3 linked regions of the Nothobranchius furzeri genome follow. The protein of the gene in region 2 interacts with the protein of the main gene of each other region in a pairwise test. Links are inferred from orthologs where the notes say so. Each region holds a gene or a part of one and is shown on either strand. Other genes may lie near its edges.

Region 1 (3,527 bases), on a different chromosome or scaffold from region 2:
CGGTATTTTTTTAAACGTTTTACATTTTCAGACAACTAAATAAACCCTGTATATCAGGAAAATATTGTCCTCAGTTTGTGTCTAAATTTAGCCTAAAATTTGTTATTTTGTAATTATGTTGTTTATTTGTTTACATTTTTTCCCTTTAGTCTTTAAAATAGCAATGTTTGCCCATAACTTCTTATTTTTTGTCTGTTTGATGTCATCATTTAAAAATATTAGATCAGATGATACTCAGTACTCAAGTAGCCTTCTAATTAGATACTTTTTTTTACCCTTACTTGAGTAATAAACCTTATATCAGGAAAATATTGTCCTCGGTTTGTGTCCTTCCTGTGAGCTTTGCAGATTTGGGAAAATGTCATCAGGCAGTAATCATTGTTAAATTCATAATTATTCTCGGAGAGAGACCAACTCTTATCTGCCCCTGGGAGCCCCGTAATGCATAGCGTCATTTCAATTTGGCGGTGTCCGCGACACGGTTTATATGCAGGTAGCGGCGCTGCGGCTGCTTTATATAGCGACTCGTTGCGTTCTCCCTCAACCCAAATCCTCGGATCACACATTTTAGCTAAAACGCTAACGTTAACTTGCCTTGCGTTGACTGTAGAGTTGTGGGTGATGGTCACGCAGATGTGTCATGAGATTTGAAGCGTTGCTGCCTTTCACAGACACTTTTTCTGCACGTGCTGCAAACAGGATAGCCGTCGTCTATAAACTGTCCTTCGGCACTCTTCAAATATCCAAAAAATGCCTGCACTTCCCACTTTGTCTTCTTTGAGGGATGATAAATGTCCTGAGCCCTGCCATCTCCTCCTTTGGCCATTATTTCAGCTTTAGCTTCAAGAAAGTTTTGGTTGTAAACAACAAAGTGTGCATGTGCCACCGGCAACTTCTGCAGATGATACGGTGGCTGGTAAGGGTCACCGCGCCTACACCGCAGCCACGGTAATCCACCAAGATAATACATATTTTTTAAAAAACAAGAAGGTTATTACTGTCAACTTTTTTACTGGGGTTTACCGCTGCACCGGTTACCGTGACAACCCTAGCGGAGAACAGTCTCAAGTTCAGAGCAGGACAGAATGGGACTCAGCTTAGCAATGTTCCTGAGATGGAAGAAGGAAGAGTGAACAAGAAAACTGACATGAGAATCCATAAATTATATGTTTTTATCTCAGATTAATTTATGTTAAAAAATTTTTAATCCCAGATTAATGTACTTTAATTATTATTTTCCTGCAGATGAAAATCAGCCTGGAGCCCAAAGCGAAGAAAAGCCGTCGGACTCAAATAGTTGAGCCTAAAGAGGAAGCCAGTGTACGTGTACGGTCTTTTCTTTTCCCATTATTAATTACCTGTTAAAGATTTCTGTGTTGAGAAAGCTTAGTGAAGGTGGAGATAATGCAACAGCGTTGGTTCTGCTCCATCAGGACCCGGAGCCTGAGATGGAGGCGGTCAGCTCCAGCCAGGAGATCCCTGTGTCATCAGCTCTTCAGCAGCCTGAGAAGCTGTCCGTGTCCACGCAGACCAAGAAGGCCAGCGGGGGGTCGCCGCGCATGCTGCACCGCAGCACTCAGACCAACAGCGACGGCGCCTGCCAGAACATGTGCCACGAGAAGTACACCAAGGTTTTTAACGATGTCAAGGAGATGATGAAGGCCGACAACAAGAGGGAGACGGAGCGGGTGGTCCGAGAAGCTCTGGAGAAGGTTGGTTTGGATGCCCCGGGAGGATATTCAGGATACCTCTGTGGACTTTGAGATGTCACTTCCTGTTTTCCGTCCCTTCAGCTGCGTGCTGAGATGGAGGAGGAGAAGCGGCAGGCGGTGAGCAAGGCGGTGTCTGGAGTGCAGGTGGAGATGGAGAGGAAGTGTAAACAGGTGAAGGAGAAGTGTAAAGAGGAGCTGGTGGAGGAGGTGAAGAAGCTGGTGGCTCAACACAAGCAGCTCATCTCCCAGACCAAGAAGAAGCAGTGGGTGAGTTCAGAGGTCACCCGTCTCTGTTCACGAGGAGAACTCGACTCGTTTTCCTTTATTTAGAGTTTTTAGATTTAACGTCGGCTGGAATTATGTTGGGATTTAAATTCATGATGATTTTATTATTTTCATGTTTCCTGTTTTAGTCTCACTGACTCTGACTAATTTAAGAATATATGACTTTTTAATGTCTTTTGTTGTATATTTATTCTTATTTTATTTCCAGACTGATTTAATGTCAGAACTTTAATCACTAATTTTCTTGAAGCCACTTTCCTCTGGCCTTCTGATCGGGGAACTCGGTCAGGACTTTGGGATTATTTGGAGATAAAACGATTAAATTTTAAAATCCGGTAGAGACGAGAGCGAAGCCCTGTGAGGTACTGGTTTGGGGGCTGGTTACTAACTGGAGCTGTGTGTCGTCCTCCCAGTGTTACAACTGTGAAGAGGAGGCCATGTACCACTGCTGCTGGAACACCTCCTACTGCTCCATCAAGTGTCAGCAGGAGCACTGGCACGCCGACCACAAACGAACCTGCCGCAGGAAGAGATGAACAAGCCCCGCCCATTTCTAACCGCTTCCAACTCCTGATTGGTTCTCAGCTTCCCCCTCTTGTCTATGTCCAACACACACACAGAATTCTCCTCCCCTCGCCTTCCCGAAGGGTTCTGCGTCACAGCGAGACAATTCCTGTTATTTAATGTAGCTTTTTTTTATGTTTGTTTTCTGGTTTGTTTTCTCGAGAGCGTGGCTCCGACCCGAGTTGTGGTGATGATCTACATTTTTAACTCGTATGTTTTCTTTACTGAAGTGCTGATTTTGTTATTTAAGTGTAGAAACACGACGTGAGTATTGCTCAAAAACATTTTATTACCTGAACTTTTTACTGTAAATGCAGCAAGCCTGTTTAAATACCAACACAATAAAATGACTGTCGCAGATTTTACGACTTTAAAGTCTTACACCTTTTTGCTCTCCGTAAACGGATTGGGGTGAATAGAACCGTGATGATTTCTGCCTGAGTCTGTTAGCTTGTCGTCACTGGGAACAGGGTCTTTTCACAAGTCTCAGTTAAAATTAGATGTTTCCTTAAAGTTAATTTTGGAGTTTATTTTATTTTTAGCTATTGAAATCCCTCCCCCAAAAATCCAGGTTTTATTCCAGATTTGACCTGAGAAGCTCGTTGATGTTGCGAAACACTCAGAATTCTTGGTTTGTGTTTAGAGTCTGAAGAAGTGAAGCTGCTGCTGTTTTGGTTTGTTTCTCATCGTCTAAATCCCTCTTCAGCATCGTGAACATTTCCATCATCAGTGAAACAAAACCAGAAGCTTTCTGGTGCGACTGGAGAGCCAATCAGAACAAAATCCAAAAGGATGTTCCTTTCCCCGTTTGTTTTATAATGGAGGCAATCAAATTGCCTGCTTGTTTTTGTTTTACAGTTCTGTGTAAACCGTTCTCGCTCCTTCTGTCTATGCTTTCTCCACAGAGATTTGATGAATTTTCTGTGAATGTTTCCTAAACTGGAAGAACTTTTCTTCTCGGTGGGA
Region 2 (3,651 bases):
TACTGCAGCAGCACGTCTAGCTGCTGCTTGGCCCTTCCCACGAGACGCGACGCAGCAGAGGAGCAGCTGTCACCGACAGGGCACGAAGTCACACGAGTGACTTCGTCAGTAAACACAACAACAAGCAGGAGAAAACTACAACATGGTTCCAAAATGTTTGTGTTTTTATATTCTGTCCATTTTATAATCGCCAATACGGACCTGAAAAACAAAGGAGACCGCTAGTTGGTGATAACTTCTCACGGGGCCGCACAGTTAGTAACCTTTTTTAAAGTAAAGCGACCGGAAGGCAGTACGTTCTTTATTCTGAAAATCTCGGGAGCTTCTCTCCATTTCCGCGTCCGATTTCCTGTCTTTCCTTCCCCAAAAATGTCAAACTTGACCCGTTTCAGAGGCGTCGCGCGTAGGAAATAGAACCGGCGCGTAAAGGCCGCGACATGCTGCTCCTGAGACGCGGCCGACTCGCGCTGCTGACGGCTCCTGTGGAAAAGGTTCTGTTGACCACAGCCGTTCCTATCAGCAGCTATGACGTGCTGCTGCAGTAACGTGCTGCTGACGGCTGCTGTGGAAAGCCGGGGTAAGTGTTTTTCTCCCCACAAGAAGCTACAATGATGTTCTGCTGAGCTGTGGTGGCCTCATGGAGGGGGCTATCATCTAGCACACTGCTGCTAACCACTTAAACATTCTCCCTCTCCTGATAATAACTTTTTGCTTTCCTTGATGCTGGATGTGCTACTACTAGTTTATCCGTTTAATTATAGATCCACTAGGATACATACAATAAAGTTTATCTCTCACCAAATGGAATATTTACTAAGAAATCACAATATAACTATAGACAAATTACTTCGTCTTTGTGTGTGTGTGTGTGTGTGTGTGTGTGTGTGTGTGTGTGTGTGTGCCTGTTCTGTCTTCTCCATCCCCAGTGAGTCGTGGAGGATGGCTGCTTATACTGAGCCAGGATTCTCTGGAGGTTTTTTCCTGTTAAAAGGGAGTTTTCCTCTCCACTGTCGCTTTATGCTTGCTTAGTATGAGGATTGCTGCAATTTGAATGGCTTAATGAACTGACCTGAATTGGAATGTTTGTTATGTGAAGTGCCTTGAGACAACTCTTGTTGTGATTTGGCGCTATATAAATAAAATTGAATTGAATTGAATTGAATTATGAAGTTTTCAGACCCTGTTTTTATGAATAAGGCCCCTGTCACTTTTGTGAATGAGAATTGACATCTCAATGAGTCCCTCACCTGGTTAAATAAATAATTAAATAAAAATTGTGTGTTTTCATCTTCTCCAGGGGTCGGTACCTGGTGGCCCTGGGTCAGTCCTGGCACCCAGAGGAGTTTACATGCTCTCATTGTAAGGCAGTTCTTGAGGAAGGGGGCTTCTTCGAGGAGAGAGGATCTGTCTACTGCACAAAGTGCCATGATAACCGATATGCTTCGACCTGTGCCAAGTGCAAGAAGAAGATTTCTGGAGTAAGAGCTGCTATTTTTTTCTTTTCTGTTCTTTCAGAAAACTTCAAACCAGAAAGTTAGCTTGACCAGAAAAGGAAAAAGATAAACATGTGAAACTTCTGTTTTCAGGAGATCATGCACGCTCTGAAGATGACCTACCATGTTCAATGTTTTAAATGTGCTGCCTGCAAAGTTCCCATCCGGAATCAGGCTTTTTACATGGAGGAGGGTGAGCCATACTGTGAGAGAGGTGAGACACATTCACATACGCATGTAATGCAGTTAATCATGTAATCCAAGTTTTCATTTTATGTTTTTTAAGATTTCTAGTAAACGTGTTAAACAGCAACACATCTATTTAATTTCTAAAATATGATGAGTTCAACTTCCGCATGTCTGAGAGGAGTCAGTGCTCCGCTTTGTGAAGATGTGCGCGCCCACACGCACAAAGAAGTGAATCCATTAAAATTGAGTCATTCAAATCGAAAAGAAAAGGAGAAAGAGAATAAGTTAGACTGAATTAACGTCCAACGAATAAAAGTGAGTTTTTAAACGAGACTTAAAAAGGGAAAGAGAGGACGAGAGTCTGATCAGGAGGGGCAAGTGGTTCCAGAGCTTCGGTGCACAAACTGAAAAGGCGTGCTCCCAGCGGGATTTACAGCAGGAGCTAGGGACATGTAGGAAGCGCTGGTCAGCTGATCGGAGGGATCTTGTAAGGGCATATGGGTGAATGAGCTCAGACAAGTAGCCAGGTGCTAAGGTATTGAGGGATTTAAACACAAAAACCAGGATCTTAAACTCTATCCGGAGATGGATGGGTAGCCAATGGAGATTTGCTAAAACCGGTGTGATGTGTTCTCGCTGCCTGGTGCCAGTCAAGAATCGAGCTGCTGCGTTCTGCACAAGCTGAAGGCGAGCGAGAGTGGAGGAGGAGATACCATATAGCACTGAGTTAGAGTAGTCGAGACGGGAGGTAATGAAAGCATGGACTACTGAATGGAGATGACGCCTTTTTAAAATGGACTTAACTTTAGAGAGACGCCTCAGGTGGTAAAAACAGGTCTTAACTTCCTGGTTGACATGAATGTCCATTTTTAGTTTTGCATCCATCACAACCCCTAAGTTTGTGACATGGGTTTTCAACCCACTTGTGATAAAAGGAAGGGTCAGTTGGGGACTTTGAGAAGTCCTAGGGCTGAAAATGATGGCCTCTGTCTTGGCATCGTTCAGCAAAAGAAAGTTTTCTGACAGCCAGCTCTTCACATCATTGCAGCATTCAACGAGGAGCTGTAAGGAGTCATTAGGCTGAACTATAAAGAGAAACAGGATCACTTTACAGCATTCAAAAATTACGGCATTAGTAATAAGCAGTTAATAAATGCTTAATAATGACAAGTTCAGACTTAGTAGTCCACTAATACGCATATTAATTGGCAGCTAATTAATGGTTAATTTGTGTTCCCTAAGCTAAAGTGTTACCTTTTTTTTATTTGCTGATAACCAGTATAGATGAGTGTCGTAATGGTGCTGTAGACATGTGTAATCATTAGTGTCACAGTTAAGTTCAACTTACTTCAAATTTAATATTTCAGCCCACAACCGTAATTATATCTCCATCTTCAGGTTAAAAACTCTGCTCCACATTTATCTAGAAAAACTACAATTTTTTACATTCAGGAATTGCTCTTGACTCCTGTATAATCTTTGACTCTTCCCATTTGATCACGTGTTGCACGGGAGCTGGTGTCTTGCTCCCATAGTGCACTCTGGTTTTGGTTAAATACGAGCCACAGATCTAAGTTGTGCGTTTATTTATGAAATCTTTGTAGAATCTAGTCGCACTAATTAGCGCCAATGGAGACGAGCTCTGGTGTAACAATGAGAGGTTCAGTCATGACACTCTATAGACCGCCTGATGCTGACGAGGGGATTTCTCCTGTCAGTGTGATAGGAAGAGGTGAGCTGCTGCTAACCCTAACCCAACAAGCTTTAGTTCATAGAAACACGTTCTATGCCCAGACTGTAGTGACTTGTTATTTATAATGTTATAATTGATATTAAGTGAATGCACAAAACCCAAAGATAATAGAAAATACGATAAAATAAGCCTGAGTATTTTCTCCCACAGCTCAGCTCTGATATAAACAGATGTCTGCTTAAACTGGACAATATCAAATATAAAAAGTATTCACAA
Region 3 (3,751 bases), on a different chromosome or scaffold from region 2:
TTGGCCCTTTTCTTGGGTCCGCTTGCTCCAGATCCTGTGCTGTACCCAGACTGCTACAGTGCTCATACCCTAATTCAACGTCCTCGCATCAATCCTAATGCAACTCATATTCTGGAACATGGACGAAAAGGACTTGTGGGAGAGCTACTGAAACTAGACGGTGTCTCTGTAACTCCAGTTCCCAAACAGAGTGAGAGTGACTGACTTACCAGAGTGGCTTGATTTCAATAGCTCTAATTGCTTTGGATAAATAGGTTAATTTTTCCTTATCCTTATTGAAAAATCCTGTACACAGAGTAGCAAAGCTTGTTTTTACCTTTTTTGCTAACAGTTTTGGCTCCTGCTGTCGCCTTCATCAGAGCCTCACCGATGTCTGTGGAGTTGCTTTTGACGCCGTTTATCTGCGTTAGCAAACCTTTAGCAGTAACTTTAATTCCAACCGCTTTTGTATTGTTTCCCTGTAGAACAAAAAGTACAAGACTTTCGTAAAGAAAATGTACGTCGGCTACGGGAGATCCAGAAACGCTGCAAAGAGCAGGAAGCTGAGAGGGCGCAGAGCGGCCCTGTTCCAGTTAAAGCTTTATGGACCTCCTCAAAATACCAGAACACCCCGTCTAAAGTGATGGCCCACCTAGAGGCAAGTTCAAAACTCTTTCGTGAGATAAAATTTTGCCTTGCAATTTTTCCACCTCATATGTTTCATTCGTTTAGGTTTCCAGTCCAGCTGTTAAGCCTCAGTGTCAAAACTTTCTAAAGGCCCATTCAAACTGTAGTTCTGCTTCACCTTCAAAATCTTCACCTGTAGTTGTGCAGCACCCAGCTTCCTGCAGCTCCACACAAGACCCAGACTTGAAGGTGGGAACAAACAAAACAAATATTTCTGTATTCAAAAAATTCCCAGGGGCAATTTGAATGTTTTACTTAAAGGTGCAATAGGTAGTGATTTTATAGGGAAATATTCACAAAACAGCCTAATGTCTCAATCACGTTGGAAGGAAGGTTACATTGAAACAATTTCCTGCTCAGCCGACTGGGTGGTTGCCAGTTTTCTTCCCTTGTTAAAAGGCTGCAAGGAGATGTAGTCTTTGTTTACAATCATCCTGCCTCCATGTTTCCTCGTTCCAGAGCCGTTCCCACTGGAACAGCAGTAGCTCAGGAGGTAGAGTGGGTTGTCCAGTAATCAGAAGTTGCAGGTTCGATCCAGGCTCTGACCAGAGAATGCTGTTGTTGTGTCTTTGGAAAAGATACTTAATCTTAATGGTCTCCCCAACAAACTCACTCATAAACTGCAACTGGTCCAGAATTCAGCAGCCCGTATTATCACCAGAAACCCTTCCTTTCACCACATCACCCCGGTTCTCCAGCAGCTTCACTGGCTCCCAGTTAAATTCAGGTCCATCTTCAAAATTCTCCTTCATACCTTCAAAGCAATCCACAACCTCTCTCCTCCATATATCTCAGACCTTATAAGTATTCACACCCCATCCCATCCTCTCAGATCTTCTTCTTCCATCCATCTTGCGGTTCCTTCTGCCCGTCTCACTACCATGGGGAGCAGAGCTTTCAGCCGCTCTGCTCCCCGTCTCTGGAACTCACTTCCCCCAGACATCAGGAACATCGACAGATTTACCCTTTTCAAAACAAAACTCAAAACACACATGTTTAAATCTGCCTACAACCTCTGATTTTATTGAACTGTTTCTCTCTGCTTTTTTTTTTCTTGTTTGGGTTTTATTGTTGTTTTATTGTATTTTACTACGTGTTTTCTGTCAAGTGACCTTGGGTGTTCTGAAAGGTGCTTTTAAATAAAATGTATTCATTCATTCATCTGCCTTGCCTGCTGGTGGTGCCAGTGTTTGGCAGGCCTCACCTCTGTCGGTGCGCCCCAGGGCAGCTGTGGCTACATCATAGCTCATCCCCATCAGCGTGTGAATGTGTGGGTAAATGGGTGAATGACTGATTGTGTTGTGTTGTGAAGTGCCTTGGGAGGTTGTAGATCTCTAAGAAGGCGCTATATCAAATACAGGCCATTTACCATTTGTATTTGAGCCTGCAAAGTTGCTTAGTCTTCAACGCAAACACTGCACCTGAGTTTGTAATTCAACACCAGCAGGCAAAGAACAACAGTGTTGTGAACAGATTGGAAGCCAGTAAACAGAAGCAGCCCAGAAGTTATTTCATGGACTGCAGTACCACAATTTGACCACAACATGTCATTCCTGTTTCATGAATTGTATTTGAAATTGAATGAGAAGCACATTTTCAACTTATATGTATCTGCAACTCTGTATGTTTTTTTTAAATAAAGTTACAGGTGCAAGGTCAGGCCATAGACTTCATAAAACATAACGCTCGGTCTGCTGGAAAAACTGTTGTCCGCCGATCCCAGTCTTTGACAAATCTCAGAGAAAACCCTGTGCCCAGTGCAATCAAAGGACAAGTACCACAGTAGTGAGTGATTTAACATCAGAGTGTACATTTAAATGAACCGACTGAGAAATAAATTTTATCTCTTTGATGTTTTTCTCCTGTCATTGATGTTCCCACACAAGTCTTGTGGAAAGGAAGGAGCAGTGGCGTAAGGAAAAGGAAGAGAAGAGGAGGAATACACCTGACCCTACAGTCCCAGCTGGTCACACCTTAATGCCGGAGAATGAGAGACAAGAGACACTAAAAACCCTAAAATCTAGTAAGTGTCCACCTTTGCAATGATACCAAAAGCATTTTGGTTGTGCCGTAAATACAATATGTACAACTATTTTCACATAACTAATTATGTCTTTTTTTTCCGTAGCCCATCGCTCCTTGGTGACTGAACTGCTCTCACTCCCGCTGAAAGCAGACAATCTGAGTGTTCGATCCCATCGGACTTATCTTGATTATAGGCTTTCTGAGATTGAAGAGGCCATTAAAATATTCTCTAGGGACAAAGTTTATGTAAAAAATGATTCTTAAAACATGAGGAGGACCAAGAATAGGTAGAATTTATCCTGTAAATTAACCATTTTGTTGAGATTTTTTTCACAATTTACTAAGTAACAGAATGAGGGATTTTATGGAAATGGTAATAATTAGTTAAGGAGGCATGTTTTATATGAAAGGTTTTATCTTTATTGTTACTGAATTTTAGTATCTTCCAAAACAATAACATATTTAAAGCACCTTATTTAAAAAAACGTTGCTTTATTGTGTAGGGGATAAGTAGCAGATATTCTGCAAATTTGAAATAAAAGGCTGTAATTACACTATTTACTGATAGACGCCAGCTATTTATATTTACTACTTTTTCTGTACATTGTATGTTTTTAATTACTGTGTAGATCGCAAACAATGTTCTATAATAAGTTTTTCACCAAAAATGTTGGTGAAAATGATCAATTTTTAATGAAAATACAAAAAGAACAATCCTGTTTGGGGGTCAGTAACGCATTGCGCATGCGCACACCTTTCTACGTATTAGGTCATTGTTCTGCGTGACCGTTGGCTAAAGTGCTAGCCGTAAGCTAACTGGAGATTTAAATTTCTTAAAACGTATTTTACCGGTTAGTAAAACTGTCTGGATTGCAGGGAGCATTCTAACGTATCTAAAATCCACAATGAGCAAGAGGAAAGCACCGCAAGAGTCCCTAAATGAGGGAATTACTGACTTTCTTGTCGGTACGTATGAGCTCAGCTAGCAGTAGTTAGCCTGACGGTCACTTTGTTTTAAAATGTAAATACTAAAACTTTCTAAATGAAACAAGTTTATGAA

What was found.
Region 1: the proteins of pdlim7 (region 2) and zmynd11 interact in a two-hybrid assay, tested with the Homo sapiens proteins (2 studies listed by BioGRID). The link is inferred for Nothobranchius furzeri from reciprocal best matches to the Homo sapiens genes PDLIM7 and ZMYND11.
Region 3: the proteins of pdlim7 (region 2) and enkd1 interact in binary tests that used the Homo sapiens proteins (3 or more experiments, as listed by UniProt). The two-hybrid records come from large-scale screens. The link is inferred for Nothobranchius furzeri from reciprocal best matches to the Homo sapiens genes PDLIM7 and ENKD1.

Annotation. Positions count from the first base shown.
Region 1 is NC_091751.1:36,836,328-36,839,854, reverse strand, and holds the end of zmynd11 (zinc finger MYND domain-containing protein 11), read left to right. Parts: intron 1-1,245; coding exon 1,246-1,326; intron 1,327-1,433; coding exon 1,434-1,712; intron 1,713-1,793; coding exon 1,794-1,979; intron 1,980-2,410; coding exon 2,411-2,533; 3' UTR 2,534-2,926; downstream 2,927-3,527. UniProt on the Homo sapiens protein: Chromatin reader that specifically recognizes and binds histone H3.3 trimethylated at 'Lys-36' (H3.3K36me3) and regulates RNA polymerase II elongation. Does not bind other histone H3 subtypes (H3.1 or H3.2).
Region 2 is NC_091741.1:103,112,352-103,116,002, reverse strand, and holds part of pdlim7 (PDZ and LIM domain protein 7), read left to right. Parts: intron 1-1,297; coding exon 1,298-1,478; intron 1,479-1,586; coding exon 1,587-1,707; intron 1,708-3,651. UniProt on the Homo sapiens protein: May function as a scaffold on which the coordinated assembly of proteins can occur. May play a role as an adapter that, via its PDZ domain, localizes LIM-binding proteins to actin filaments of both skeletal muscle and nonmuscle tissues.
Region 3 is NC_091757.1:55,620,178-55,623,928, reverse strand, and holds the end of enkd1 (enkurin domain-containing protein 1), read left to right. Parts: coding exon 1-190; intron 191-464; coding exon 465-637; intron 638-711; coding exon 712-855; intron 856-2,308; coding exon 2,309-2,451; intron 2,452-2,552; coding exon 2,553-2,689; intron 2,690-2,794; coding exon 2,795-2,955; 3' UTR 2,956-3,392; downstream 3,393-3,751. Other genes in the region: polb (DNA polymerase beta), read left to right, coding at 3,597-3,657. UniProt on the Homo sapiens protein: Microtubule-binding protein which regulates microtubule organization and stability. Promotes the stability of astral microtubules and facilitates the proper orientation of the mitotic spindle.